Callithrix jacchus: one gene and its partners. The protein of the gene in region 1 purifies or fractionates together with the protein of each later gene. This does not show direct contact. Links are inferred from orthologs where the notes say so. Each region holds a gene or a part of one and is shown on either strand. Other genes may lie near its edges. The genes, in order: CSNK1A1L, FAM83H and FAM83D.

Region 1 (9,454 bases):
ATAGATTCAAATAAATGCAGTGGAAATTTTTCTTTCACGGTATGTATATGCAAGTGAAAGTATTGTGAGTGGTGGTGCTGGTATTGCTGGATCGGGGTGAAAATGCTTATTTCTAAACTTCTGTGATTATCTCTGGTTGGAAACGTGACACCATACTCAGCTGCTCCATCCTCCTAGTGGGTCTCATAATGGCCCTAAGGAATCACGGATGTTAGAAGATGGCAGAAGAATAGAAAGGCTGTGAAAGACCCAAGAAGTTTCCACTCAACTTATACATTAAGAGCCATCCTTTCTTCTTTTCCCCTTTTTGATTTAAAAAGTCATAGCTGCCATTTCGCAAGATTTTTTTCCTTTTAGTTTCTTTACAATTTATTACTTGCCTGGATTTTCCATAAATATTTTACATGCTGAGGGACATAGTGTTTTAAGTCCTATGATTCTCCTGTGCCTAAACCAAGTTTCTAAATTATGTCATATGTTGAGAACTGTAGCCAGGAGTTAAAACTTGGCAGTTAAAAACTTGGATTCAGTACAAGTTTCTACTATTCCTTGGAATCATTCAATATGACCTCTTGAGTGGTGGGGGGGCCTCTTTCTCTCTCCCTGTTTTTGTAGTTCCTAGGAATTTCAAAGTTGGAGGACAAAAAAATACAGAACCGATGATGTACTTTATTTGGAAAATGTGTGAATTCTGCACATTTCAGATGTGCGCTACTCTTTCAGTGTGCATGACCTATGAGAAGCTATAAATATGTTAAGGAAAAAAGTACATAAATATACATGTGTGCCTGCTGTTTCTTTTAAACTTTTGGCTTTAAAATATGAAATATATTATTGTCTTTTGTCTTCATGTGGCAGAATATAGCTCCTTTTGTTACTCTCTAGTAGGTTCCCAATGGAAGAAGGTTAATGACAAAGAATCAAAGAAGGAAAATTAATTTTTGACAAAAAAAACCTCCTTTTGATATTTTTACTATAATGGAATTAAGCTTATAATTATTGCAGTGCGCTCTGCTTGAAACATTAATAAGTCTTTGTGAGTATTTGTAGAAGTAGGAAAGTATCTTAAAAATATTTGTTGATAAAAAAATCATAGTAAAGGTAAATCTCCAAATATCTATTTGTAGACATAAAAGAATAAGCACATTCATATGGTAGGAGATAACCAGTGTCTCCCTTCATGTTTACTCTTTTTTTTTGAGACGGAGTCTTGCTCTGTCATCCAGGCTGGAGTGTAGTGATGCGACCTCGGCTCACTGCAACCTCTGCCTTCCAGGTTCAAGCGATTCTCCTGCCTCAGCCTCCAGAGTAGCTGGGACTACAAGGCGTCCACCACCACACCCAGCTACTTTTTGTATATATATATATATTTTTTGAGACAGAGTCTTGCTTTGTTGCCAGGTGCCAGGCTGGAGTGCAGTGGCACAATCTCGGCTCACTGCAACCTCCGCCTGCCGGGTTCAAGCAATTCTCCTGCCTCATCCTCCCAGGTAGCTGGGACTACAGGCACGTGCCACCACACCCAGCTAATTTTTTTTTTGTATTTTTAGTAGAGATGGGGTTTCACCATGTTGGCCAGGATGGTCTCGATCTCTTGACTTCGTGATCCGCCCGCCTTGGCCTCCCAAAGTGCTGGATTTACAGGCTTGAGCCACCGCCCCGCCTAGTTTTTGTATTTTTAAGTAGAGACAAGATTTCACCATGTTGCCCAGGCTCATCTGCAACTCCTGACCTCAGGTGATCCATCTGCTTCAGCCTCCCAAAGTGTTGGGATTACAGGCATGAGCCACTGTGCCCAGCCATGTATACTTCATTTTATTTTCTTGTTTTACCTTCCCCCAAACCGAAAGATTCAACAGTAGTTGGAATGGCCATCTTCCAACATTTAAAAAAGTGCATTCTCCAATGGGTGAACAAAGTAGAGCAGTAACCTAGAATTCTGCTGAGTAAGCCACTGTGGAGCCTTAAGTGGTGAGGTCTTCCAATATCACAGTGATGTGTCTTCACCTTACATCACCTTATAGTGAAAAACATGATTTAATTTTGGTGAAATGAGATTCATCTCTTGGCATGACCACTAACAGCATTCACTGAATTTCACATTCTTCTTTTGTGAACTGTGAAGACAATGAATGGTATCTAGAAGAAAAATGGAATGATAATATACCAGGACAAAAACACCTATATTTTGTTTTACAAAACTAACAGTAGTTTTAAATCTGCAGCTTCATTGCAGACAAACTATGCCACAACCTTTTCAAATGGCAAGAATACAGAAATATTTCAGGATAAGTGCGTACTGAATAAAAGCACTGAAAAATATCTTGCTAGAGGGAGGTCAGCTTGGAAAAGTTACTAACAAAGCTAAATTTTTTTTTATATAAACTATACTCAAAAATAGCTTTATGAGACTGATTTCTGGCAAAAGAACCAACGGCTTAATAGCTAAGAAATGAATACCTTAACAAGGGTGGATAGAAAGAAACCAGGAAGCTTCCCACCCCCAAAATTTGTGCTTATTAAGATTTCTTCAGTATTATAGTACTAATATATCCGTTAATGGCAGAATGTGGTAATCATAGAATTAATTATTGCTGAAATAGTTTTCAAATGAAAAAAATTAAAAAATAAATGAAACCTGACACAATCTGACCAAACATGTGGCAATTTACAATTTCAAGGTTATTTTACAAAATGCCCACATTTACACAACAGGCTCCTGGCAGCATTTTCAGATAAATGTTCTTTTAATTTATCCTGACATGCTATAAGTGAATAAATTACACCATTTAAAAAATTAAAAGGAAAATGAGTTTTCCTATGTTTTGCGTCAGAGAAAAAGAAAAGAATGTGCAAAAAGGTTGAGAGGAAGAGCACGTACACACAGATAATTTAGAGAAGTAGATGGGGGTTAGGGAGGGTCAGTGCTCACAGAGACTCACACAGTGTGCTCTCCAAGGGTAAAAGTCAACCGCTTATAGCCATTACACAAGTATTTTCAACAATGCTTTGTAGTCAAACTCTTCAATGCTTGCATTCTTGTTTGAAATTAGCCCAGCTATTAGTCAGTGGAAGAAGTAACAATACCAAGTTCTGCTGGTTGAGTACTAGAGATTGTACCACAAGTAATTAGAAAAAGAAAAAATGAAAGAATGCCTTTCCCCTTCATACAGAAAAGTTATTTTGAAATAAAAACATTGGAAAAAGTTATATCGTGAAACAAAATGTACTTGCACAGGAATATCATGTAACAAATGCCTTGAAGTTGACTATCGAAAAATTGGGGAGATTTTTATTTCCTAGTGAGTCAGCAAGGCATTTTTTTGATTGTTGTTTAAAAAAGTATCATTTCCTTACAGAAAGTTTCTAGTTTTTGATGAACGTGTAAACATAAAAACTCCCATTTCAAAATGTGAACAAAATCCTAGATCATATCGGAGTTTACAGTGATTACATTTATCTAAGCAACATACATACACGTTCAGTTGTAGGCTGTTAACTACATTTCTGTGACAAATATGGTTGCTCTCGTTGTTTTTTATTTTTTAAATACCGAGAACATGATAGAGTTAATGTGGAATTCTAAAGATAATCTGGTAGTGACTAAGTTTTTCTTACGTCTTCACAGGTAAGCAGGCAGAATCTTTCCTATACTCAAAACTGGAATTTTTGGTTGTTACCAGATCAGTTGGTTTGCAGACAAGAAGCCAGCCGTTTTAAGAATGCTTTTCAAGTGAACAATCTGCAAACCCCAGGGAGGGAGAAAGCCTAAGAATGCTCAACTGTAAGCATTTACAACTTTCGCAGCTGTGGCTGAAGACTGTTCTTCAATGAGATCTCAAAGTAGTCTAGCTCAGACTAAAAGGTTTTAACAAAAAATTGGCATATGCACAACGTCGTCCCCAATTCATGTGTGCCCACCATTTAACTTTTCTACTTGAATACGTGCAACAGAAAACCAGACACCATGTTTCACTACCTCAGATAACATTCACAATTCCAGCAGCTACACCTTGGGATACAGCATCACCAGCGCTCCCTGGAGTCGGTTTATATAGAAATAAAGTTTTTTACACCAAGGAAATGATTGTCCACAGCCACTAGCTAGTGTACGTATGAACTACAACTTCTAGAGTGGGAAGAATCAAACGCTGCTTGAATCATCTGCTCTGCTTCTTCCGTTCCTCATCCATGCTTAGTTATCTTTCACATTATCCTTTTTATTCGTTTTACTGCCTGTCTGGGCTTGAGCCTGCTGACCCTGCCCACTGGAAGAGGCTGCCTGCTGTGCTGCTTTCTGTTTTAACATCATCCAGTCAAACGTGTAGTCATATTGGTGGTTCAGGGTCCTGAAAAGAATGCGGAAGAGCTGCCTCAGATACGTGTAATCTGGGACTTCCTCAAAGCGCAGCCCACGACAGTAATTCAAGTACATGGCAAATTCCGCAGGAAATCCCTTACATAAAACTTCAACAGGCGTGGACATCTTCTTCTCACTAATCTTGTCGTATTTTTGTTTCTTTGTCATAGCCTTTAGTCCTTGCCACGGCAGGTTGGTTCTATTAAAATACATGAAAACGTAGCCTAAGGATTCCATGTCATCTCGGCGGCTCTGCTCAATACCAAGATGTGCATTGATGCTGGCATATCGGACAGTGCCAATGAGGTGTTTATCTTCTCTGTACGGGATGTGTTGCCTAGTCCTGTTGTCTCTGTACCTTTTGGCCAAACCAAAATCAATAAGGAACAGCTTATTACAGTGACGCCCAGTACCCATCAGGAAGTTATCTGGTTTAATGTCTCGGTGTAGAAAACTCATCGTATGCACGTATTCAATTCTACTGATCATCTGGTCGGCTAACATAAGTACAGTTTTCATGGTGAACCTTCTGGAACAGAAATTAAAGAGGTCTTCGAGGCTGGGCCCCAGAAGGTCCATGACTAGCACATTGCTGTCTTTTTCCTGGCCATACCAGTGCATGTGGGGGATGCCAGTCCCACCCTGAAGAATCGTGTAGAGTCTGCTCTCATACAGCAGCTGCGGGTGCTTGGCCTTCTGAGATTCCAGCTTCACTGCCACTTCCTCCCCGTTGCTGGTGGCGATTCCCAGATAAACGTCTCCGAAGGAGCCAGACCCGATCTTCCGCACCAGTTTGTATTTCCCTCCCACAATGAGCTCGGCCTTGGAGCCGCTGTTTTTCATCATCCTGAGGGGCAGAGATGGAGGCTGGCCTCCGGGCTCTCAGGCGCACAAGGCTGACGGTGAGGGCGTCAGGAGACGGCCTGGAGTCGGCTGGTGTCAGCCTGATCCCCGCAGCGCCGCCGGATCTCCACCAGGTGGCAGTTTGTGAGGGCTCCTCGCGATCGCCAGGTTTGGCCTCCACCTCTTTGTGGACGGCTGTGGCCGCCTCGCTGTCGCGGAGGGGTCGCAGGCGGAGAAACGCGGCGCGGCGAGCTGGGGCTGCCAAACCGCCGCCACCGCAGTCAATGGCTGCAGGCCCCAGGGCCCCGTCACGCCGCCGGCGCCGCCATCTTGTTCCTCCGCTGAACCAACCACAAATGGAGAATTTTTAGAGCAGCTGCTGTTGTCTGAGTCTTCCGTTAGGTGTTCCACTCATCTTACTCCGTTTCACACGGACTTGCTCGTCTTGTAAGGTAGCTGCTGTTTCCCTGAGTTATTGGGTAAGAAAGGCTAAGTCTCAGGTAAGGGGCCTAAGGTTGCAGGAGAACATGGGCGAGCTGGAATTCAAAACTGCGTAGGCTTATGTGACTCGGAGCTCAGCTTTTTTTTTTTTTTTTTTTTTTTTTTTGAGACGGAGTTTCGCTCTTGTTACCCAGGCTGGAGTGCAATGGCACGATCTCGGCTCACCGCAGCCTCCGCCTCCTGGGTTCAGGCAATTCTCCTGCCTCAGCCTCCTGAGTAGCTGGGATTACAGGCACGCGCCACCATGCCCAGCTAATTTTTTGTATTTTTAGTAGAGACGGGGTTTCACCATGTTGACCAGGATGGTCTCGATCTGTTGACCCCGTGATCCACCCGCCTCGACCTCCCAAAGTGCTGGGATTACAGGCTTGAGCCATCGCGCCTGGCCGGAGCTCAGCGGCTTTAAACTTCACGGTGCAGTAGTGGGAGGCTTTTATAGCAGAGATTCCTGGTTTTCAGGCCCAATCATTGTCCCGCCTACTTCCCTAGCCATCGTCTCTCTCTGGTTTAATGCGAGTCGTGGTGCCACCTGGAGCTTTTTCTCTGCGATCTCAGTGGTTGCTTCTTTATTGAGTTTAGGTGAGTCACTTACTGCTCGTTAAATTGAAATGCCTTTTTTTTTTAAGCCATCCTTTTGAAGTTTTTTCATAGAATGCTTTGAGTTCAAATAGGATTTCACAGAGGAGTTCTGGCAAAACTGACTAAATGAAGCATTCAAGTCAAATGTAACCAAAATATGAAGAAGAAATAGCTGCGGGCAGTTCTGAGCATTTTCTCAGAAGAAGTGGGACCAGCACTAGCAGAAAAAGTCTATATTTTTTAATCTAAAAAAATTTTTAATCTAAAAAAATCTGTTAATCCTAATGGAGCAGTAGCAATGAATTTGGGGGCCAATGGCAGAAGGGCAGGAGAGGGTGGTGGAGGTTTGAAAGTAGATATTCCCACTTACTGTCTCATATAGTGCTGTTCCTAACTTTTCTGACCTGCAACAGAATTTCATAGAATGCTTTGAGTTCAAATGGTGAGAGAAGGAGCTGGTTTGAGACATAGATGGGCATAGAACATTATGAACTGCTTTAAAACATTAAAAAACTCCACTTAGGACAAATATGTGAGGTGGGTAGCACAGTATATTACTTGGCTTTGCAGCAAGAACAACCCACAAATCTCAGTGGCTTACAATGACAAAGTTTATTTATAATTTAGGATTTATGTAAGCCATAGATCAGCTGCATCTCTGCTTCCCGTGTCCTCTTTGTTCTAGAATGTAGGCTGAAAGAGGAACCGCCTTAGGAGAATGCTGTTCTCATAATAAAAGGAGTGACAAATGTCACATTCCGCTGGACAAAAACATGGACGGGTCCAAAGACAGTGGAGTGAAAATACATACTCCTCTCACAGGTGGAGAGTAATGCAATATACTGCTGACAAGTTTTATTATTATGATTGTACTTCTCGTTTTATACAAGTGGAAATCAAGGCATAGAGAGGTTAGATGAATTGCCCAAGACCACACTACAGACAAATGTCAGAGGCCAATTTGAAACTGAAGTTTGACCCAAGGCAGTTACTTTTTATATTGTATCAACTAGAATGGCATTTCTTTCATTTACTTATCCAACTTTGTTGAAATTTGCCTGGAGAACAATTTCCCTTCTAATGACCTAGAACAAAATTTATGTTGTTAACGCAGTGCCCATTATGCTTCCTTCCCTTTCAGCCTTCCAGTCAATGGCTTCAACATGAACCTTGAAATTCAAATGATCTCTATGTGAGAGAAGTCAGTAATTAAAAACGTTACAGATAACCCATACTTCGACAAAAACTTGAAATTAAAAAAAAAAATCCCCTTTCAACACTGGAACTAGAATAGTTTAATGATAGTTTGTAAATCGTTTGCTAAGTCCTATACTTCTTTGTGCTCGTTAAATAAAGGCACTGCCTGTAAAGAAAGTCAAGTGTAACTTATAATGGTGGCTGGGTGAACCTTCATGACAGGGAAGTTGTGAGCATCTCCAGAATGGGGAGGATCAGTAACCGAAGTGGTGGCATGACCCTGAATAGCTTCCAGTCCAGTCTCCAATGAATTCTCTTACCACAAGCCAGTGGGGCTGCTGACTCTTTCCTGAACACATACTCCCTGCATTTTTTCATCTTTGGGTCTTGGCTTATGGTGTTGTTTCCTTAGCCTGAAATGCTTCCGGCCTGCTTTATCTTCCCTATCACCCAGATCTAATTCTAATAACCTTTCATGGCTCTTCCTTAAATGTTGTTTGCTCCATGAAACCTTTTCCAATCTCTTCAACCAAATATAAGTAGTCTTTAAACCCAAACAACACTTTGCTTAAACTCTTGCATCCCCTCCCACCCTTTTGTTCAAAATTTTTCCCTAAGAGATATGCAGCAAATAGTTTTTAAAATGTAAGGAAATTGAACTACTATATTTGATAAAATTTTCTGGACAGTGTGTGGGGTTGATGCATTATTTATTCATTTGTTCAACAAATAGTTATTGAATGCCTCCTATTTGCAGGGTTTGAGTGACTCACCAAAGGTGGCACAGATGTGGAATGATGGATTCAGAATGGAAATCCAGGATTGCCTGACTCCAAAGCCAGTACTTTTAACCCCTGCATAGATATCAACAGCCAGAGGCTACTGAATGCTGGGTGGCTTCACTGTTGGGCAGGTAGTAGTTCTCTTTCTTTCCCTTAATTATATATTTTGTCAATGCATTTTAAAGCTATGATTTAGCCTTGGTTTCAAAATTGCCACTAAAATAATTTCTATTATTATAAGATGACCCCAGTAAAAGTAAAATAACATATTCTGGGCAGGATTGTACTGGGTAGTATTGTACTGTCTAACAACCAATTCAGATTTTGTCAGTCCTGAACTTCATTCATTTTTTTTTTGTGGCCCTCTTTAAGAGAAAGTACAAAAAAATGAAACAGGCATAAAAGATTTAACTTAGGAAAGTAAATCACAATTTACTTGGTGTTAGAAGTTCAAGTCTCTTTTCTACCCCCTAAGCTATCTCGATGCAATTGACCAGAAATGCTTACATAGAAATGTTTCCACATTGCAATCTGACTTCTCCTTCCCACCTGAAATACTCCTGTCTGCTCCTAACACTTAGAAGGTATCCTGCAAAATAGGTTTTATTCACTTGCCTATAAACCCACATCAGCTTTTGGCAATTAAGGAATGATATTCAAATGGCATTGGTTTTAGTCTCGTATGAGTTTTGGGGTTAATTTTCTGGGCTTCTTGATATCTTCCTAGGAAACGGAGACACTTTAGTAGAATGGTCTTTTGAGGCACAAAATTTCTAAGTAAAAACAATTTTCTTTTTGGCTATAGACTTGAGTGGGCAATTGTTGTTATGGAAACCATTGGCATGAATGCCATCTCCTTTTGGAACTATTAAATAGAATACAAGATAAATGAAAATATGTTCTTAAATAAATAATGCTGTCACCAAGAGATTTACTGAGGTTTATGTGGCTCAAACACTATGTTAAGAATAATATTACCCAAAATCAGTCACTTTAATTTTTAAAAGATCCTGGAGATGACTAACTTTATAGAAGGATTGAAGTCATTTTTTCCTCAAAGCTTTCTGGAAGTATTGGCACTGCAAAGACAATGAGAAACTATTGGAAATGATGCTGTTTGGTGTAGTGTCAAAAATCACAGCAGAGGGCGTCCTCGTCATTGTAATGTGCTGGATTTTCTTCATGAAAGAAT
Region 2 (9,803 bases), on another chromosome or scaffold:
ACTGGTGCTGGGCCAAGCACCTACAGGAGACTGAAAAAGGGAGGCTGGGCTTGGGAGAAGGTTGGAGGAGGTGAATGAGGGAGCCGGAGGGCTGGAGGAGGTGGTGAGCCAGTCAGAGATCCTGCCATGGGCTTGTTTCCTGAGGGGTCTGCCCAGTGGTCTGCTTGTTGAACTTCCAAAACCCAAGGCACAGCCCCAGGGTGCTGAACAAGCAGGACACAGAGGCCAGGGGGCTGCAGGGCTAGAGGCTTGGCCTCAGGCTAGGCAGAGTGTGGTGGGGTTGCTGAGTGGGGAAGCACAGGTGGGTGCCCAGGAGTGTGCCGGCATCGGGGACAGGGAGAGGAGAGCACATACAGCGTGAAGTTGGAGGGACCTCGGTGGACCTCGGAGTGAAGCTGGGGGCCTTTAGTGCCCCCCACAGGGATGGGTGGTGAGGCCACAGGGGAACCCAAGAGGCCACATGGTTAGAGGCTGCAGGATAGAACTGGGCAATTATACACACGGGGAACATGCTAGATTATTTTGTGGGTTGTGTTTTATTAACACCGAAATGTGCCCCATCCTGGTTTAGAAGATGTGGAGGGTGCAGGCAGGACACTCCGAAGGCCCTAGCAGGGCGGCCAGCCTCTGGCCTCTCCATGGGCTCCACTTTGAGAATCTGTCCATTCAGCCACACCCCAGGCAGCACCAAGGCAAACGTGCCCACAAGAGACAGGTGCACCCGCTCCAGGCACCTTTCCCACCTGGCCAGAAGTCCCTGCTGTCGTCCCTGCTTGGGCGGTGGCTTTGGTAACCAGCTGGGGCTGTCCAGCAGAGCTGGACAGAGAGACAGCAGGGCCACTTCCCCTCCTCTCCCAGCTGCTGGAGTCCGAACTGCTGCCTCTAGCGGCCTTGTTTCTTAAGTCAGTTCCCTCTTAGGATTTATTACATTAAAAATTTTTTTTTGAAAAGAAATAGCAGATCCTGGTGGTGTAGATGCAATTTAAAAACACAGCATACAGAAACACGAATTGCACAAAGCTAGCGTCTAACAATGGGGGACTTTCCACGCATGTGGTGCCAAAATGCATCATTCTGAGTCCGCTACGGTTCCTCACTGGGGGTGAAAAAAGAAAAGATAAGCCAGGAAGCCTGGACCCATTCTTGGTGTTGGTGACAAAGAGGAAAGGCCCTGAGAACAGGGGTGGGGTGGGGTGTCTGCTGGACACCAGGAGGGCAAAGACCACTCCCACCTGCAGGGGTGCCCAGGACCTGCGTCTCAACAGCTGGGATCAGCCTCAGCTGCACCTTGTCCCCTGCCCTCACCTGGCCCCACACCTGTCAAAGACAAGCACCCCACCATCCAGCCCTTCTGGTGCCCAGGCTGGGCCTACGCAAGGGACGCTCATGAGGCTGCGGCCACAGGTTGTCCATCTGGACCGTTTTATTGAGCTGCAAAGCCCAGTGCCCCTCCCCACTCTCACCCAGTGCTGGCCAGAGCCTTGCTGGAGGAGACGGCAGACCTGCCAAGGCAGCCCCTGAGGCTTCCCTGTGCCCCTTCCCAGCCGTCTGCCCTGCCCAGCTTCCTTGCCACTCCAAGGGGCATCCTTCCGGTCCGGCTCCACCCCTCCCTTGCAAACGGCCTGCAGCCAGCAGCCCAATCTTCCCCACAGCAAGAGCACAGGCCTCAGAGAAAGATGCTGGGAGGCAGTGAGCAGGAGAATCCAAGTGGGACAGGAAATGCAGCCCTGAGGATGGAGGAGACCCTGAGAGAGAGGGAGGGAGGGAGGGGAGCCCTGAGAGCAGGAGGCCCTGAGGAGGAAAGGAGCCCCAGAGAATGGGGAATTGAGGCACAAACGTGGGGCCCTTGAAAGAGGACAGGGGACTCAGCGGGGCACGGAGGCGCACGTCAGTAATCCCCCCATGTAGGGAGACTGAGGCGGGCAGATCACTTGAGGTCGGGAGTTGGAGACCAGCCTGGCCAACATGGTGAAACCCTGTCTCTACTAAAAATACAAAAATTAGCTGGGCACGATACCAGGCACATGTAATCCCAGCTACTTGGGAGGCTAAGGCACAAGAATTACTTGAACCTGAGAGGCAGAGGTTGCAGTGAGCAGATATGGCGCCATTGCATTCCAGCCTGGGTCTCAAAAAAAAAAAAAAAAAAAAAAAAGGTGTGGGGGTACTGAAGCACAAAGAGATGGCGGAGCCAGACGCCGCGCCATGCAAGGCTGATGGTGCAGAGATGAAGATGCTGAGGAGAGAAGATGCTGAGGGAAGAAAGGCACTGGTGGCGAGGGGCTGGAGCCCTAGTACTGGAAAGGCCAGGAGCACAGACGGCAGCTGCCGGGTGAGCCCCAACAGGAGCCGAGCTGTGGCGCACTCAGCCAAGCCCCAAGCAGCCGTGGCCTGGCAGTCACCACTCAAGCACAGGAGCAGTGCTCTCCTTGCTCTGTGGAGGCTCCGGGTGGTCATGGCAGCAATTTGGACACCCTGGCCTGGGCTGCTGGGCCAGGAAACTCATTTCTTGCCTTTGAACGTGCCCAGAATCTTGGGCACAAACTTGCCCACCTTGCTGTCCCTGGTGCCCTCCTCCACCGGGCCCTCCCCAGCCCCGGAGCCGCTGGCCTCCTCTTTCTTGCAGAAGACCTCGAAGCGGCTGTACACGCGCTTCTCCTTGCGCATGCTCTCCATGCGGCGCAGCAGCCGATCGCGCTCCTCCGCGCTGGCCGGCAGCGTGCGGCTCAGCCGGCCTTGGGTCCCCAGGCTGTCGGAGCGGAAGATGGCTGAACACTTGTCCTTGTCGGACATATCTGGGGCCAGGCCACCAGCAGCCGGTGGACGGCCTAGCTCGGGGCTGCTGTGGGCTGGGCCGGGGCCCGGGGAAGGGACCACCCGGTGCTTCTGGCCGTGGGCGCTGATCTGCTCCAGAATGGCTTTCGTGTCATCCCGAAGGTTGCTGCTGTACAGGGCGTTGGCCGTGGCAGAGGCCAGGCGTGCCCGGGAGCCCCGCTCCTCTCCTGTGGCAGCCTCCGTGCTGTCACCCCCGCCCAGTGACTGCCGCCGCGGGCTCTCGGGCTGCCCGTTCTCCTGTGGCACTGCGAAGCCTCCCTCATCCTCCATGCGCCGCTCGCCCTTGGGGCTCAGCAGCTGCCTGAGGCGCAGGGAGCCTTTGCGCAGGACTTCCATGGGGCCGCTCGGCCCCTCCTCGGTGGGCCCGGCCTTCGGGGACTCTCCGGAGAAGGTAAGGGTGAGGCTGCCCCTGCGCTCTGGCACTGGGGGCACAGGACTGCTCCTGCGCTCGGGATAGGCTGAGGTGGGGCTCCCCTTCTGCTCGATAAATCCTGTCGTTGGGCTTCCTCTTCGAGTGGGAAACCCAGGTGTGGGGCTCCCCTTCCGCTCAGGGTAAGCCGAGGTGGGGCTTGCTTTTGGCTCAGAATGGGGCACCTGGCGCTCCCCGGGCCCTTCCAGTGGCAGAGGACTGTCCAGTCCTTGCGGGGAGGTGGAGCGGCCCTGGGCAGAGAGGAAGCGGGAGGGTAGGTGGTCGGAGCCGCTCCGGCCCAGTGTATCAAGCAGCTGCGCCGCGGTGAGCGAGGCGGCTCCTGGCTGCCGCTCCGCCTCCTGGTTCAGCTGCTGCGCAAAGGAGTCGCGCAGGTCCAGCAGGCAGCTCTCGAGGCTGCGGCGCTCGCCCCCCACGCCACCTGGGGCCGCCACCTCTTCCCGCCATGCCTGGGACACGACGGCCTTGCTGTGGCTGGCAATGGTGATGGCGCCCGCGCCGCCGCCGGGATCACGGGCTGGGCCCTTATACTTCTCCAACAGTTCGGCCACCTTGGTGGAAGCCGCGGAGCGCACGGCCTCTCCGCCAGGCCCCAGCGTCTCGCTCACCGTCTGCTCTTTGTGCAGGAGCTGCACCTTCTCAGTGGCCGCCGCAGTCCCGGTCGCGCCCTCGGCCTGTGACGCGCTGAAGATGAGCGAGGAGCGCAGCCTGGAGCTGCGCTGGATGAGGGGGTTCAGGCGCGAGCGGAAGGAGTCCTGCTTGGCCAGGCCGGGCTCCTCCGGACCCTCGCGCTCCAGGCTGTTGTTGCCGCCGCCGCCGCCCAAGCCTGGCATGGGGACCTTGGTGGGGAAGGCTGCGGGGACGCGGAAGGCCGAGGGGAGCAGGTCGCCGGCAGCTGCCCGGCCCCCCGGAGCCAGCACATCGTCTTCATAAGCCTCGGCTTCCATGGGCGCCGGCAGGCCGTCGTCGCCCCCATCCTCGCCATGGCAGCCGCTCAAGTAGGAGGCCAGGCGCCAGCGCCGCAGCCCGGCCCGCCCCTCCGGCCCGCCCCTGCGCTCAGGCTCCGCCTCCGGAGCGGGGTCTGTGCCGGGCCTGGCCGCCGCCTGGCAGGGGAAACGCTGGGCCAGGTTGGGGCGCGGGGGCCCGCTGGGTTCCGGGCCGCGGGGACCGGGTCCGAAGGCGGGGTCCGAGCCGTGGCGCACCTCGCGGGACGCGCTGGACGGCACGTAGTCCAGCCGCTGGTGGCCGTCGGGCCCGAGCTCCGGGAAGCGCGGCCCGGCGCCCAGAGTGAAGTCATCTGGGTCCGCGAAACCCGCGCGGCCTCCACGAAGCTTCTCGAACAGGCCCTGCGGTCGAGCGGGTGCGAGCTGCGGGTCCCACTGGTACTGCTGCTGGTAGAGCTGGTCGCGGTGGAAGTGGCTGGTCTGGAAGCGGAAGTCGTCTCCGTGACTGAGGAACGTCTGTCGCGACACCTGCCGCGCGGCCGCGAAGTTCTCCACGGCGCCCGCGCCCTCGGCCGCGAAGCTGTGCCGCTTGAAGGCATCCATCTCCAGGTGCCGCGCCTGGAAGAAGCCCCGCGTGCCCGCGAGGTCCCCAGCCGGCCCGGCCTCAGCCTCCAGGCGCCGCGACAGTGGCCGCATCCCCGCGTGCAGCTCCAGGGCGCCCCCCGGCATCCGCAGCGGCTCCTCCCGGCGCAAGGCCGACAGGAAGTGGCGGTCCGGGTCGAGGAAGGAGGGGAAGCCCAGGCCCTCTTCGCGGGGTGGTGGGAACAGGAGGTGCGCTCGTTTAGGGAAGGAGAAGGGCGTTGGCACCCCGACCCCAGGGACGCCCACGAGGGGCCCAGCCCCGGCATACGGAGCCAGGGCGTAGGCGTCCATGCGGGCCAAGGCCGTGGCCGAGGGCACCAGCGGCTCGGACTGCGCAAAGAGGATGCGGAACTCCTCGTCGAAGCTGGAGACCAGCTCTCCTTGGAACACGTGTGCCAGGCTGCGGTGGATCTTCTCGAAGGACCACATGAAGCTGTGGGGGGTCAGGGCCAGAGTCAAACCGAGCTGGAGCAAGGGCAGTGCAGCCTTGTGGGCAACGGCTGGGGCGGGGAGGACTCAGGGACGTGAGGTCTGTAAGGGCCTGGGCCCGGCCTAGGGGTGCAGGTGGCTACAGGGCAAGGGCTCCTGGTGAGAAGGGCCCTAGCGTGGAAGGGTGGCACTGGGGCAACAGGAGGAGGCCCCAGAGAAGGAGCCGAGGGAACCCCATGGGCGCACCTGTAGCTCCCACTCATCACCACAGCGCAGTCCACCAGCAGGAACTTCTCCTTGACGTGGCCCTTGAAGGACTTTCCCGTGCGGCAGTAGTACGTGGGGCCCGCCACAGTCCGCACGCGCAGGAACTGGGAAGGGAGGGGAGTTAGATCTCTGCCAGGGGGCCTCCCCAATCCCCCACTCCCAGGAACTCACATCCACGTGGTGCAGGTTGACACGGCACTTGTCTGCCATGTCCAGGAAGTGCTGTGCGTTCATCTCATCCAGCAGGATGTAGACTGGGACCCGACGGGCTGCGGCCTCCAGCACTTCGCTCAGCAGGTCCACATCAGTGAACATGTCCATCACCACGGCCACCACCTGCAGGGGTGGGTCAGGATGGAGACCAGAGGCCCCTGCTGTCCTCACACCATTGTCTAGCTTCCCCTCCACACCTGGGAGATGTCTGGGTTACCCACAAACCCAGACATGCTAGCCCATCCCAGGGAGTGGGGCCACATCTGGGAAGATGGGTAGGAGGAAGGGACCCAACAGAAGAAGCATGGAGCTGCTGGCCATAACGGGGGCGGGGTGAGGCAGGTGCAGGGCAGAGAACCCTGAATGAGGGTGGGCACTGCAAGGAGCCCTCCATCTTCCCTCCACTCTACAGATGGCTGAGCTGCCCTCCCCCAGGGCAGCTGTCAGGGCTGAGGGGGGGTCACTGTCCAGGAGGGGGTCACTGTCCTGGGCAGGAGACAAAAGCAGGGGTCTTTAGCGTTTGCACTTGAGGCCTCAGTTGCCATGGTTTAACAGCACCCTCTGGAGTCTGCCAGCTACTTTGTGAGGGTCTGAAGCCCTCAGCTGGCCTGAGAGGGAATTATCTGAACAATGAACCCAGGCTGGTGGGGGTGCCCACCCATCCCAGAGCCCTGGAGTTTCTGGGCACTGGCCATGACCACAGGCAAGGAGAACTGTGCAGAACCTGCAGCCCATGGTGACCAAGGCCTGCCAGCCCTGAAGATCTCTGCTGGGACTGCCCACTACAGCTGGAGCTCAGGGCTCACCCCACAAGCTGCTCATGCTCATGTGTCTCCTCCACCCTCGTGCCTCCAGCACAGGCTCTTCCCCACCACCCTACAGCTGCGATAGCGCACCTGCTGGGCGGAACGGATCATCCTGCGGGCCTCATCCTTGATGCTGGGGCTGTCGGGGGGTGGCGGCTGCACCAAGGTGGTCACCTCGGTGCCCTGGAAGCCAAAGGTCAGGGGCCAGCCCAGGTCAAGCTCAGGCACGGCCTGGTCTGACTTCACTGGCCAGTATGTACCCGAGGAGCCATCCATGTCCACGTCAAGAAGGCTGCCTTCGGGGGGCTCTCGGGCAACATACTGTGGGAGCCGAAGGTGTCGGCTCACATGTTCCAGCTCTTCAGGGCACAGGAAGTCAGGTGCCCCCTCGGACGCCAGGAAGCGGCTATAGGCCTCCGAGCCACCTTCGGCCAGTGCATCCACCGCCAGGCGGTAGTACTCTTTGTAGTGAGGTGGCAGGTACCCGGGTGCCAGCGGGTTGTCCCCCTGCGAGGAGCTCTGGGAGCGACGGGCCATGTCGGGGCCAAGGGCCTGGAGGGGCAGGGAGACACATGACTAGGGGTGGGGGCACTGGGACCACTCCTGCCGTCAAGCATGGTCACACTGTGGAAGGGGCCATTAGGGAGTTGGCTAGGCCGGAGTTCAGCCCATGCCCAGGCCGCCTTCCAGGGCACCAGCCGAGCCAGGCTCACAGAGGATGGCCCAGCCCTAGGACACCCCTAACTGAGGAGGCACCAGCAGGTATCCCAGGCTGGGGCACAGGTATCTCAGTCCTGTCTCTCCTTCCTCTGGGAGGCTGGGGCAGGAGAAGTGCTTGAAGCCAGGAGTCTGAGACCAGCCTGGGCAATACAGCAAGACCCCATCTCTACAAAAAATTTTAAACATTAGGCAGGCATGGTGGCACGTGCCTGTAGTCTCGGCCACTTGGAAGCTGAGGCAGAAGGGTCGTTTGAGTCCAGGCGTTGCAGGCTGCCGTGAGCTATGATTGTGCCAATGCACTCTGCCTGGGCCACAGTGAGACTGCATCGCTACAAAAAATAAAACCAAACCCTCTAAAACTTTCATGATTCTTGGTTTAAAGACAAACGTAATCTGGGCTACGTTCATCATTACAATATTCGCTTTTTTTCTTAAGATGTTCATGAGCCCCTGGCACTGTGCCTACTGAACAAGTTGGTCTGCCCATGCTGCCTGTGTCTCTCTGACTGCCTGGGAGACCCCGAGTAAGTCACTGCACCTCTCTGGCCTGTACATCTTCTGCACAACACAGCTGAGGGTCCACATGACGCCATGCTTCACCTAAGATGAGCAAACAGGGCTGTGACCACCCTCCTCCAGGAACGCGGAGGTCCTCGTTAGTGGACCTCAGCCACACCTCCTCCCCATCCTCAGTTTCACAGTTGGGTTCCCACAGCCCATCCTCTGACCACCCAGCCCTGGAACTGACCCCTAGACCCTGTCCCTGTCTACCAGCCCCTCTCCTTCCCTTGGCCCACCCTTGACCTCTCTCTTGTCACTGTCCCTCTTAGATGAAACCTCCCTGGGCCACAGCCCATTGGTGCCCACAGGTCCTTCAGGGCCTGCACTCCACAGCCCCCAGATCTCGCTCTTTACTTGCTCAGAGTCCTGTCCCCACCAACCCCAGTCCAAAGCAGCAGGGACCTTTCCAGGTCTTGGGCTCCCCACCACCATCCACGCTTGCCTGCCCCACAGCCCACCCTGTTCTCCAAAGGGTCCCTGCAGGGGGCCTGGCCTCTCCAGAAAGGTGTCTGATGGGGACCTCTATAGGGTGCCCAGGGCCCATGTGCACATGGTCATGGAGCTACCTGGGTACCTCTCCCTGGAAGGAGAGCCCTAGGGAGCACTCAGCCCATCCCAGTGCTCCTCAGGTTGCTGAGGGAGGCAGCACACCTATCCCCACCTAGCACACAGGTTCCTGAATGTTGGCCCTGGCTGGGGAGGCAGTTCAGCCCAGACAGAGGAGCGTGCCCTGGGGCGTTGACAGGATGGGCGCTGGCCAGCTGGACTGCATGGGTGCTAGCAGGAGCCACTTGGCTGAGAATGTTAAGGTCAGGCGGCAGCCGTCCTGCCTGGCGCACCTGGGGGTGACATGGAGTTGACACGTGGGAAATACCTGGTGCCACTCAGTTATCCAGCCCCAGATGCCAACCGGCCTGGGAGAAGCTGTCCCAACATTTCTTTGTTGAGGCACTGTCCTCATGGTTGACATGTGGGGCTGGTTAGGGCACACTGTCTTGATTGTGCCAGGAGCAGATCAAGGCCGACCACATGGGGGTGAGGGGCAGGCCTGTCTGGCTGGGTGGGGGCGCCCACTCACCACTGCCAGCCTGGCTGTAGAGGCAGTGTCTGATCACACAGGGCTTGAGGGAACAGCCCTGCTGATCTTGAGGGGCACTTCCTGCTGCTGGGGGGGCAGCACTCTAGAAAGGACCCCCACTGTCCCTTTGGATTTCACAGGGTAGGGGAGTCAACAGTGTCCAGGCTGTGTGTAATGTGGGCAGGGACTGTCAGGACTGTGGAAGCCCCTGTGGCCAAAAGCCCTCCAGCAGACACCAGCGTCCACACAGAGTGATGCCAATGGCTTCCTCCAACGACTTCATTCCCCGTGTTGTCCCCTTTCATGGGTCCGTGTCTCCCCAGCTATGGACGGGGCCGCAGCCACTCCCGAGCCTGAGATGGAGCACTCCAGTGGCCTGCATGCCTACACATTTGTGTAGCAACGCCTGCCCAAGGGAGGGAGGGCACGGAACCCACCCATGGCCAATGACTCAGCACGAATCCACTCTTCTGCTGACCCCGATCTGTGACTTGAGGTCAGGGCTCTCAGCTGGACTTTAAGGACCCCATCCTCTCCACCCTGGCCGTAAGTGGGGTATCTGGAAGGAGGACCCCATGGAAGGATCCAGAGTTCCTACACCAAGTGGGGTGAGCCTGTGCCGTTCCAACGGGCACAGGAGGGCGTGGAGGCTCTAGGAGGCGGAAAGGTGGGGTGGGGAGGACGGAGCTCACAGACCGGAAGTCGCTCAGTGATAGTTTGCGGGGTGGGCACCCCAGCGCCCAACGTGGTCAGCGCACCCTACGCGTTCGCAACTGCGGCGGCTGGGGGCCCCATCCGCCCACCCCACCCCAGGAACGTGGGCACGAGAGGCAGCACTCCCGTCGCTCGTCCTGCTCTCCACGCGGGGATCCAGGCCGCAC
Region 3 (10,614 bases), about 120 Mb from region 1:
ATAAGTATGTTAAACATTTGCCTAGTTTCAAAATCCTATTTACAAAACAAGGTACTTTCAAAGATACCTCGTTTCCATCCTTGTCCCTCCCTCCCCATTGAGATAATATTTTCAATAGTTTTGTGTTTATTCTTCAATTTTTTTCAATATAAACAAGTATAAATAGGTGTATATAACATATTTGTTTTATTTAAACAAGTATATTACGTATATACCTATATATGTGTGTTCATATCCCCTATGGATAAAAGGTAGCATGGAATACAAATTGTTCTAGACCTAGTGTGGCCCAACAGAACCTTCCGAGATGACAGAACTATCTTTATTTAATTTTAATCCACATAAACTTTAATAGTCTCATGTGACTACCACATTGGTTGGTATGATTCTTGACATTGCATATCAGAGCTAGTCTTCATTCCTTCTTAGAGCTACAGGATATTCCACTGCAGAGATGAATGGATTTATTCACAATGAGCTCATCCTCTATTGACGAATACCTGAACTCTTTCCTGTGTTTTGCTATTATAATTAGTGCTGCAATGCAAAGCCTATTGTCTACATCTATTCATACTTTTGTAGATATATCTTTGGGATAGATAAATAGCAATGGAAGTGCTATATCAATGGGTAAATATAATTGAAATTTTGCTAGGTATTGCCAAATTCCCTTCCAGGGGTTATATCATTTGCATTAAGTTTTTAAAGCCAATATATGCACTACATTTTTAGTTTTTGCTTTCTTTTTTCCTGAAATAATGTATCCTCTATCCATAAAGAAGTCAGAGAAGAATCCTGCAGCTGCCTTACTGTCTGCTGGATGCTAAGGGAAAAGGAAAAAAAATGGCAGACAGAGGGCGGGCCCAGTGGCTCACGCATGTAATCCCAGCACTTTGAGAGGCCGAGGCGGGCAGATCACCAGGTCAGGAGATGGAGACCATCCTGGCCGACATGGCGAAACCCCATATCTACTAAAACACAAAAAATTAGCCAGGTGTGGTGGTGTACACCCGTAGTCCCAGCTACTCGGGAGGCTGGGGCAGGGGAATCGCTTGAACCCAGGAGGCAGAGGTTGCAGTGAAGTCAAGACTGCTCCACTGAACTCCAGCCTGGCAACAAAGTGAGACTCTGTCTCACCAAAAAAAAAAAGGAAAAACAGAAATGGCAGACAGAAAATAGAATAGTTATTGCCAGAGGCTGGGAAAAAAGGGTACAAGGAGTTAGTGTGTCAGAGCTTCATTTTAGGAAAATGAAATAGTTCTGGAGATGTCTACTAGTGATGGCTGCACAACAGTGTGAATGTATTTAATGCCACTGACTGTACACTTAAAAATGGTTAAAATGGTAAATTTTGCTATGTATTTTTTACCACAATATTTTTAAAAATTCTAAAATCCTTAACGTGACCCATGAAATCAAAAGGAAGGGATAAATTAGTAGCAACATTTCAGTCTGATGGGTAACATCCCAGAATGATGCACTAGTGAGAACTTCTAGGCCAGTGGTTCACAACTGGGGAGGATTTGCCCCCAGAGGGCATCTGGCAATGTCTGGAGACATTTTTTATCATGGTAAAATGTTCGCCATCTTAATAATTGTTAAGTGTGCAATTCAGTGGCAATAATTACATTCACAACCAACACTACTATGTTTCTAAAACTTTTTCATAGCCACAAATGGAAACTGTGACCACTCATCAGTAACTCCCTGTTTCTCCTTCTGGAGACACTGAATATCATGACTACTACCTGGCGTGAAGGATGCTGCTGGCATCGAGTGAATCGGGGCCATGGATGCTACGCAACATCCTACAATGCACAGGACAGCCCCTCAGGACAAAGAATTATCCAACACTAAAGGTCAATAGTGCTGAGGTTGAGAAGCCCTGCTTGAGGCTGACATGAGCATTTGGAACAGAAACTGATCATCATACCACACAGGTTCTACTGTTATGCAGAGGAAAGCTGTGCAACAGCAGGAAGGACTCTTAATTCAGACACATCCAAGTACATGCCGGGGCCTCCAACAGATTCCTTAGCTGCTACTTCTCCTGGCAGGGCTCTCTGGGAATGCAATGATCCCCACTACTAACATTTGGGTTATCAAGAGGATGCCTAAGGGTGAGGTCATAGCAAAAGTGGCCTTTTTGGAACAAAACTGCATAAGGAATAGGCACTGGCAAGAAAGGTGACTCTGAGGAATCAGAACCCCCTGGTGGTCGCAGCTTTGCCACTGAACTCCCATTCAACAAACCAGGAATAGCCAGACAGCCAATTCATAAGCACGTTCCCAAAATGAGGCTACGCAGCCCTTCCAGGAAGGGGGCCACAGCCCAGTCAAATCCCAATTCACACAGCAACAGAGGCAAAAAGCTGAATGAGTCATCAACAGATACAGTGGAAGAGGGGTGGATCTTGAGCAAGTATGTAGGGAAAAAATCCTGTATAGTTCAAGATTATCCAAAAACTTCCTTAGGAAGCAAACATGCATTCTGAAAAGGTTCAAAGCAGTTTCCTCCAGTTTTGGTGAAGTTCGGCTGAGCACCTGGTAAGCAGCCAGCTGGTATTCAAGCCATACTATATATAATTGTGTTTTATTTTTTAGAAATGAGGTCTTGCTCTGTCACCCAAACTGGAGTGCAGTGGCATGATCATAGCTTACTACAGCCTCCATCTTGGTTGCAGTGAGCTGAGATCATGCCATTTGCACTCCAGCCTGGGTGACAAGAGGAAGACTCCATCTCAAAAACAAAAACAACATAAAAATTAGCTGGTCTTGGTACCGTGCTCATGGAATCCCAGCTACTCGGGAGGCTGAGTCAGGAGAATCACTTGAACCCAGGCAGTGGAGGTTGTAGTGACCTGAGATCATGCCACTGCACTCCAGCCTGGGTGACAGAGTGAGACTCCATCTTAAAAAAAAAAAAAGTGTGAGCTTCAGAGCCAGAACCAGACAGACGTGGGCTTGAGCCCAACTCTGTCCCATGCTAACTGTGTGATCTCAGGCAACTTACTTAACTTCTCTGTGCCTGCTCTTTTCTGAATTGTGGCCTCCTCCCAGGGTTGGGAGGGTTAAATGAGGTAATTCATAGGTCAAGGGTTTAGCACAGGCACTGACCCATTCAAAGTGCTCAATCATATCATCATTAAGTACCTTTGCCATCAGAACACAGATGCAGAACAGCTTCTCACTTCATCTTGAAGCAGCCTGAGACCTGTACCTTCCTGGCCCTCACTGTCACAGGTACTGGACTTCAAAGGATGAGGTCAAGGTGTCATACATTCCCTTGTCCACAAGGCTGGCCCTAACACAGTGATAGCACCAGATCTGCGCTGTCACCTCTCCCCACCTGAGCACAGGCTCCTGACCCCTCCACAGGGAGTGTGGTGGTTAACATGGTTCAGATATTCTGTGCCTCAATTTGAGTACAGGTTCCTTCATTGTCTAGCTGCCTGACTTTGGGGCTATTTAACTTCTCTATGCCTCAGTTCTATCAGGTGAAAAATGAAGATGATAATTGCTCCTTCCTTGGGATTACTTAGAACCGTGCCTGGCAAGTAGAAAGTATTCTTTTTTTTTTTCTTTTTTAAGAAACAGGGTCAGGGCAAGACACAGTGGCTCATGCCAGTAATCCCAACACTTCGGGAGGCTGAGGAGGGCTGATAACAAGGTCAAGAGTTTGAGACCAGCCTGACCAACATGGTGAAACCCCGTCTCTACTAAAAGTACAAAAAAAAAAAATCAGCCAGGCATGGTGGAGTGTGCCTGTAATCCCAGTGACTCAGGAGGCGGAGGCAGGAAAATCACTTGAACCTGGGAGGCAGAGTTTGCAGTGAACTGAGATGGTGCCACTGCACTCCAGCCTGGGAAACAGAGCAATACTCCATCTCAAAAAAAAAAAATTATAAACAAAAAAAAAGAAACAAGGTCTCCCCATGTTGCCCAGGCTGGAGCTGCAACAGCCATTCACAGCGTGGTCAAAGTGCACTATAGCCTTGAATTCCTGGGCTCAAGTGATCCTCCTGACTCGGCCTCCTGAGTTGCTGGGACTACAGGTGCACAATACCATGCCTGGCTTTTTTGTCGTTGTTTTTAAACCAAAGAGACAGTCTCTGGGGCCTCAAATTCAGCACTGTCTCAAACCCACCTCATTTCAGCATCCCTCACCCCACACAGCTTTGAGTTCAATGCCACTCTGGAGACTCTTTAGCCCTTTTCCTAGTGCCTATAGCAACCTCCTCACTGCTTCCTATCAGCACACTGTCCATCCTCAAGTGTAGGCAAATTTGATGCCTTCCTCTGTGGCCCCAGCCCTGGTAGTGTCTGATACACAGCAGGCACTGAGTAAGCAAATAATTTGGCATCTATCAGATACACTGAAAATACTAATTGGATTTTTTTTTCCAAGACGGAGTCTTGCTCTGTCGCCCAGAGCTGGAGTGGAGTGATCTCGGCTCAATGCAACCTCCACCACCGGGTTCAAGGAATTCTCCTGCCTCAGCCTCCTGAGTAGCTGGGATTACAGGCGCACGCCACCACACCCAGCTAATTTTTGTATTTTTAGTAGAGATGGGGTTTCACCATGTTGGCCAGCCTAGTCTCAAACTCTTAATCTGCCCATCCCCGCCTCCCAAGGTGCTGGGATTACAGGTGTGAGCCACCGCACCCAGCCAATACTCATTGGATTTAAAGGTTCCAAATACAGCATCTCAGAGGGAATTGTGGGTAGTTGGACTAGGGCAGCAGGTTCTATCTGGAAATGTCAGCGTTACAAAATGCCAGTGGGATGAGAGAGAGTCTGAGCTCCAGGCTCCACCCCCTCCTCAGGCCAGCACGTGAGGTTAATAGTTTCCCTCTGGCCTCTGGTTCTGGTGCCCCTTTGCTATCACTAAAATTTTGGGCTGGGCAAAAGACCAGAACAAGCCACAGGTCTCACTATACAGACCAGTTCTTTACTTCTCTCAGGTTTCAAGTGCTCAAGTTCTACTGGAAGTGAGCTTTGGGAGTGCACACCTACACAATTCTGCCTTTTCCATCTTTTTAAATCTGCTCACTCAACCCGCAAGGGAAATGTCTGTGGCATCAAAAAGACCCTCGGCCCACCCAAAACACCACAGGGCTGGTAAGAGCCTAGCTGCAACCTGCAGCCACTCCCTCAAAGGCAAGGCACTAGGTCACTGTATCCATAACCACTGCAACCCCACCAGTCAGGGAGAGAACACTAGGAACACTGGTGAGAGCTGGGGCTTGGACTTCGACATGTCAACCTAAGAATGCACTGATATCTTCACCCACAGTCAGACACACTCAGGTACCAGCCCTAACAAGTCTTACCATGGTTGGGGCTTTATCTGCCATGTCCCTGGCACAGGCAGCCAGCCAGGAAGCTGGGCACTGCCAGTCAGCAAGCAAACTGACTATAGCTCCAGACCAAGGTGTCTGCCACCACACTCTACCTGCCACACCCACCTGCAGGCTGCCTTCTTCCTCCTTGATCCCCAGCACCCCGCTGCAGCTTCATCGAGGCTGGCAAGCAGACAAGACCTCCACTGCACCCAAGACCATGCCACACTAAGTGTCAGACAATAGGACCAAAACCCACTGAGAATACAGAGGCCGATCTAACGCAAATGTATCTGCATTTGAGGAGGCCACTGAAATCTCACCAAGACCCAGCCTATGGAAAACAAACTTCTTGCCATATTGATTCACAGTGGCAAACTTCTCCTCCAGTCATTGGCAGTAGAAAGAGCAGCAGGGCTCTCAGCCTGCCAATCCTGTGTTGATCTGCTTTTTACAACATAAGATCTGTAAAAATAATTAGCAGTAACAATTGATTCCTACTGATTCCTAATGCCCCACAGTTGCTTCTGGAGACCATCTTTCCGGAACTTTCCATACGTAAGTTCTTTGGTAATGAGTCTCCTAAGCAGCTCCTGAAAGTGGGATCTAGCGTTGGCTGACAGGAAAATCGGCAATTTTCCAAGTTTGATTTTAACTGAAATTTGGAACTGGGAGTACTTCTGGTACCCCCCTTCAGGGATGTGAACGTTAGGAGATGGAACCCGGGCACAATTCGCATCCTTGGGAACCGAGGCTTTCCCACTATCCCCTGCCACGAGGAGTGGCCTGGAATATCCGGGGGAGACAAGCAGAGTGAGGTGAGTCGGGGTCCCTGCTTCCGGCAGGGCGCAGAGGAGGTAGCGGCCCCGCCCCGCGCTCCCAGCAGGCCTCAATTTCCCGTTCTCGAAGGGGGTCTCCCGTGCGACCCAGGGCCCGGGCGGGCCGCTCACCTCGCGCGCAGAGCGGAGCTGCTGGCGCAGCGCGTCCTTGCAGCCGTAGGGGCCGCCCTCGCCCGCGCCGCGCGGCTGGAAGTGCGCCTCGACGCGCGTGGCGCCGCGGTAGGCGCCCCGGTAGAAGGCCGGCCAGCCGAGCTCCAGCAGCGGAGGCTCCAGGTCAGACTGCTCGGGGAAGTAGGTGCCGGACGAGCAGTCGTGCGAGGAGCCGAACGAGTCCTCGGCCGCCGCCGCCGCACCTTCCTCTCCCGGCCGCTCCGCCGCGCGCAGGATGGCGTGCACCTCATCCGGGTTCAAGAAGCGAGCCAGGCGCTCGCGTCGCAGGAAGGCCGCCAAAGCTTCCGGGCCGCCGGCCACCAGCTCCTCCAGCGCCAGGCGCCGTTCCTCGCTGAAGAGCTCGGCTGGATTGGGCGGCCCGCACGGCGACAGGCAGGCGGTGGGCAGCTCGTCCAGGCCCTCAGACAGCAGAGCCATAGCGGCGCTCCGACGCGACAGCCCTCGGACAAAAGCCGGCGTGAGGGCCTGCTTTATAGGCAACCTTTGAATCAAACAGGCCCGCGCCATTGGCCGCACCTCCCCGCCTCAACTCTCCCATTGGCTGATTTCCTTCCAATAGCGGCGAGGCGGCTCCGCCCCCTGATGCATCATTGGCTGCCGGCACAGTGGAGCCTTTGCTCTCAATGCTGGGCTGTTAAGTGGAATTTAAACTTGAAAGGGCGGGGCGGGCAGCAGAGCAGGTACAGAGGCGGGACAGCCGGGCTCCTCGCCGTCCCAACACGCCCCCTGCCGGCCGTCCCACAGAGCGGCCTCACAAGGCAGCGACAAGAGGCTGGTGCCGGCTCCCAGACACGCTGGCCACGCTGCTCCTAGGCTCTCGGAGCTTTGGCATGGCCAACCATATCGCCTTTATCCCCTGCATTTAACTGTGTATTCATTCATTCATTCATTCATTCAAAAAACACCGGTTCATTGTATTAGGAACTCTCCTTTGATTACACCCTAGGGTAGCCTTCTCTCATTTCACTGGTTTTTGACTTGTAAAACCCCCACCTACCTTGGTTACACGCTACTTTCCACCTGCACCGCTGCAGCCCTACAGGGCTGGAGAAAGAAAGAACATAACCATGCTTACTGACGGATCGCGCTTTCAATTCATGATCCTTAAAACTGCCTGCTAGGAGACAGGGCCCATGCTGTGGCTCACGCCTGTAATCTCAGCACTTTGGGAGACTGAGAAGGGCGGATCACCTGAGGTCAGGAGTTCAAGACCAGCTTGACTAACACCTGAGGTTCGAGACCAGCTTGACTAACATGGTAAAACCCCGACTCTGCAAAAAAATACAAAAATCAGCCGGGTGTCTTGGTGCATGCCTGTAATCCCATACTCGGGAGGCTGAGGCAGGAGAATCACATGAACCTGGGAGATGGAGGTGACAGTGAGTTGAGATCACAGCACTGCACTCCAGCCTGGGTGACAAGAGCGAAACTTGCTGCCTGCTAGGCTGTATTTCCCGCGTTCTCTCTACCTTTTCCTCTCTGACAGCTTGCTTCCTAGTCGCTGAGAACACAGAAGCAGTGAGAAGGGAACTTTCACATGCGCCCATCCAGTCTACCTTCCTGTCTGCATCTCTGCCCATACACAGGGCATTGATGAACTGCTCCTGCACCATCCAACCCCAACTCCTCTGCCTGGGCACTTCCAGCCCCTCTACTCACCAGCATCACTCCAGCAACCTCCTTCTTTCTCCTGGAACATCAGCGTCCCTCTTTACTGATTCATTTCTATAAGCCTACACACATATTGAAACATCTTCATCTTAAAACAGCCCTCTCTTGATCCTACATTCCTCTAAACCTCCCCATTTCTCTTCTTACTTTTGCAGCATAAAACCTCAGACATGGCTGGGCATGGTGACTTGCACCTGTAGTAATCCCAGCACTGTGGGAGGCCGAGGGAAGAGGATCACTTGAGTCTCGGAGTTTGAGACTAGCCTGGGCAACATAGCGAGACCTTGTCTTTACAAAAAAATACAAAAGTTAGCCGGGCATGGTGGTGTGTCTAACTTTTAGTGCATGGCAGTCCCAGCCACTGGGAAGGCTGAGGCAGGAGATGACTTAAGGCCAGGAGTTTCAGGCTGCAGTGAACTATGATCGCACCACTGCACTCCAGCCTGGGTGACAGAGCAAGACCCTGACTCAAAAAAAAAAAAAAAAAGAAAAAGAAACCCTCAAACCAGTTGTCTATAGTTGCTGTCTCCAGTTCTCTTCCAGCCCTCTTCAATCAGGCTAAAACCCCCACTGCTTTACCAAAACCCCTTGTCAGGTTCATCATGAGTTCCACACAGCTAAATCCAACAGTCAATTTTCAGCCTTTATCTTCTTTGTGTAAACGAAAAGAGCATCATAAATGTGAGAAGTTACCATTATTATTTAGCAATGCCTCTCCCTCTTTCCCTCCTCTCCCCATTTCCATCCATTTGTGAAGTTTCTCAGGACTAAGTGTGGGGACTTCCGTGTGTCCCTGCTCCAGTATCCAGGGTCCAGGAGGCAACAAGAGAGCACACTTTTCACCCTCTTTCAAAACACCAACAAAGTTCTGTAGGGGACAAGGACCAAGAACCGTGGTCTGAGGCTGTGCAACCACAGCTTCTCTATGCCTCACAGTAAAAAATGAGAATGGCCAGGAGCATAAGCACTTGAAAGGAAGAACTGGAATGGGGCAGGGGGGAAAGTACCGGACACATCAGTGCACTCCAACAACAGGACAAAGGAGAGGGGCACTCTTGTTACATATAAATGTCATCAGGGGCCAGCACAGTGGCTCACGCCTGTAACCCTGCACTTTGGGAGGCCAAGGCAGGCGGATCGCTTGAGGTCAGGAGTTTGAGACCAGCCTGGCAAACATGGTGAAACTCTGTCTCTACTAAAAATACAAAAAGTTATCTAGGCGTCATGGCAAGCACCTGTCATCTCAGCTATTCAGGAGGCTGAGACAGGAGAATCGCTGGAACCTGGGAGGCAGAGGTTGCAGTGAGCAGAGATCGCACCACTGCACCCTGGATGACAGAGTGAGACTCCATCTCAAAAAAATAAAAATAAAAATAAAAATAAATCAAGAAAACCTTGGAACATGTATGGAATAAATATATGCTATTACAGGGCTTCATGTTAATTTCAAAGAGAATATTTGACAGAATGAAGGTCATTCCCAACCACCTACCTTTTCTTGAAGTCATCAGCTTTTACCATCTCCCAGTCTGGAGAGACATCTGCTCCAGGTCTGAGCCCCCAGAACTCCCTTCAGGGGTCTCATGCGAGAGCCCTCCGCAGGGATGGGGGAGTCAGGGGGAAGAGATCAGACGCCCTTACCCACCCTCTAATCCAGGAACCTCCTCTTTGTGAATTTAAGTCAGCACTGTTCAAGTGAGCTCATAGCAATAATCAGTCACACTAGCAGGTGTTATTAAAAGGAATTTAATAATTTTAATTAAAAACTCTTAACAGCGATTTCTGTCACAGGCCTTGGTAGCTGGAAGCAACTCCAGGGACATGTGCCCCCTCTGGGATGTGGCTGAGCCACGGTTTCAGACCCGAGGCCCAGCATTGCCGTGTGGCAAGGGGCTACCTGGAAGTTACTTCAGTACGATATCAAAGATCCGCGAGGATTTTTTTTTAAAAAAATTTTAAATATATTAGACTCTCTTGATTGCCATTTTTACACAAAGCTGCTGATACAGTATACAGAGTTTTAACTTTTTTTCACATAAAATACATTTTTTTAAGTGTTCTCTGTACATCAGTGGCTTCTGGTCTGGTGAATTATTGCGGAGGGCTGGGGGTCTGCAGACTTTTCCTGGGTGTGCAGAGCCAGGCCCCGCACGGTGGCACTTGCAATGCCCATGGGAAGCAGGCCCTCTGGCCAAAAAGAGACTCCTATCAGGGAGAGGGCTATAGCTTCTGGCACAAGGGGTCACTTTTACAGAGTCATCCACTGACCACTGGACCTTTTGCTCTTATGTGCCCTGGGGGAGGGGAGACCATCCCCAAGTTACAAATAGCGAGGGTTCAATACAGTCTTTCTGGGCATCTTAAAAGGAGCACCCTTCTTGAAAGTACCCCAGTATCCTGCTCTAGGAGAGAGAGCAGGTAGGCGAGAGAGCTCAGGATGAAAAGGTATCTGACACCAGCAACCAAAATGGTCTCATGTTATTACAAAGCCAGTAAACTGGTGGGGCAGGACAGGGGAAACACCCTTGTTAACTGTTCTAAGCCCCTTGGAAATGGATCAAACAGTACAGAGCAGTTTTACTTATGCTGC

What was found.
Region 2: the proteins of CSNK1A1L (region 1) and FAM83H purify together in Homo sapiens (affinity purification with mass spectrometry; 3 studies listed by BioGRID and IntAct, with this or other methods). This does not show direct contact. The link is inferred for Callithrix jacchus from reciprocal best matches to the Homo sapiens genes CSNK1A1L and FAM83H.
Region 3: the proteins of CSNK1A1L (region 1) and FAM83D purify together in Homo sapiens (affinity purification with mass spectrometry; 3 studies listed by BioGRID and IntAct, with this or other methods). This does not show direct contact. The link is inferred for Callithrix jacchus from reciprocal best matches to the Homo sapiens genes CSNK1A1L and FAM83D.

What each region holds. Positions count from the first base shown.
Region 1 is NC_133506.1:156,314,447-156,323,900, forward strand, and holds CSNK1A1L (casein kinase I), read right to left. Parts: upstream 5,221-9,454; 5' UTR 5,207-5,220; coding exon 4,196-5,206; downstream 1-4,195. UniProt on the Homo sapiens protein: Casein kinases are operationally defined by their preferential utilization of acidic proteins such as caseins as substrates. It can phosphorylate a large number of proteins. Participates in Wnt signaling.
Region 2 is NC_133517.1:53,883,751-53,893,553, reverse strand, and holds the end of FAM83H (protein FAM83H), read right to left. Parts: intron 7,884-9,803; 5' UTR 7,822-7,883; intron 7,628-7,821; exon of another isoform or gene 7,493-7,627; intron 7,116-7,492; 5' UTR 7,101-7,115; coding exon 6,654-7,100; intron 5,881-6,653; coding exon 5,716-5,880; intron 5,649-5,715; coding exon 5,524-5,648; intron 5,282-5,523; coding exon 2,503-5,281; 3' UTR 1,400-2,502; downstream 1-1,399. UniProt on the Homo sapiens protein: May play a major role in the structural organization and calcification of developing enamel. May play a role in keratin cytoskeleton disassembly by recruiting CSNK1A1 to keratin filaments. Thereby, it may regulate epithelial cell migration.
Region 3 is NC_133506.1:34,345,321-34,355,934, reverse strand, and holds the start of FAM83D (protein FAM83D), read right to left. Parts: upstream 6,797-10,614; 5' UTR 6,771-6,796; coding exon 6,294-6,770; intron 1-6,293.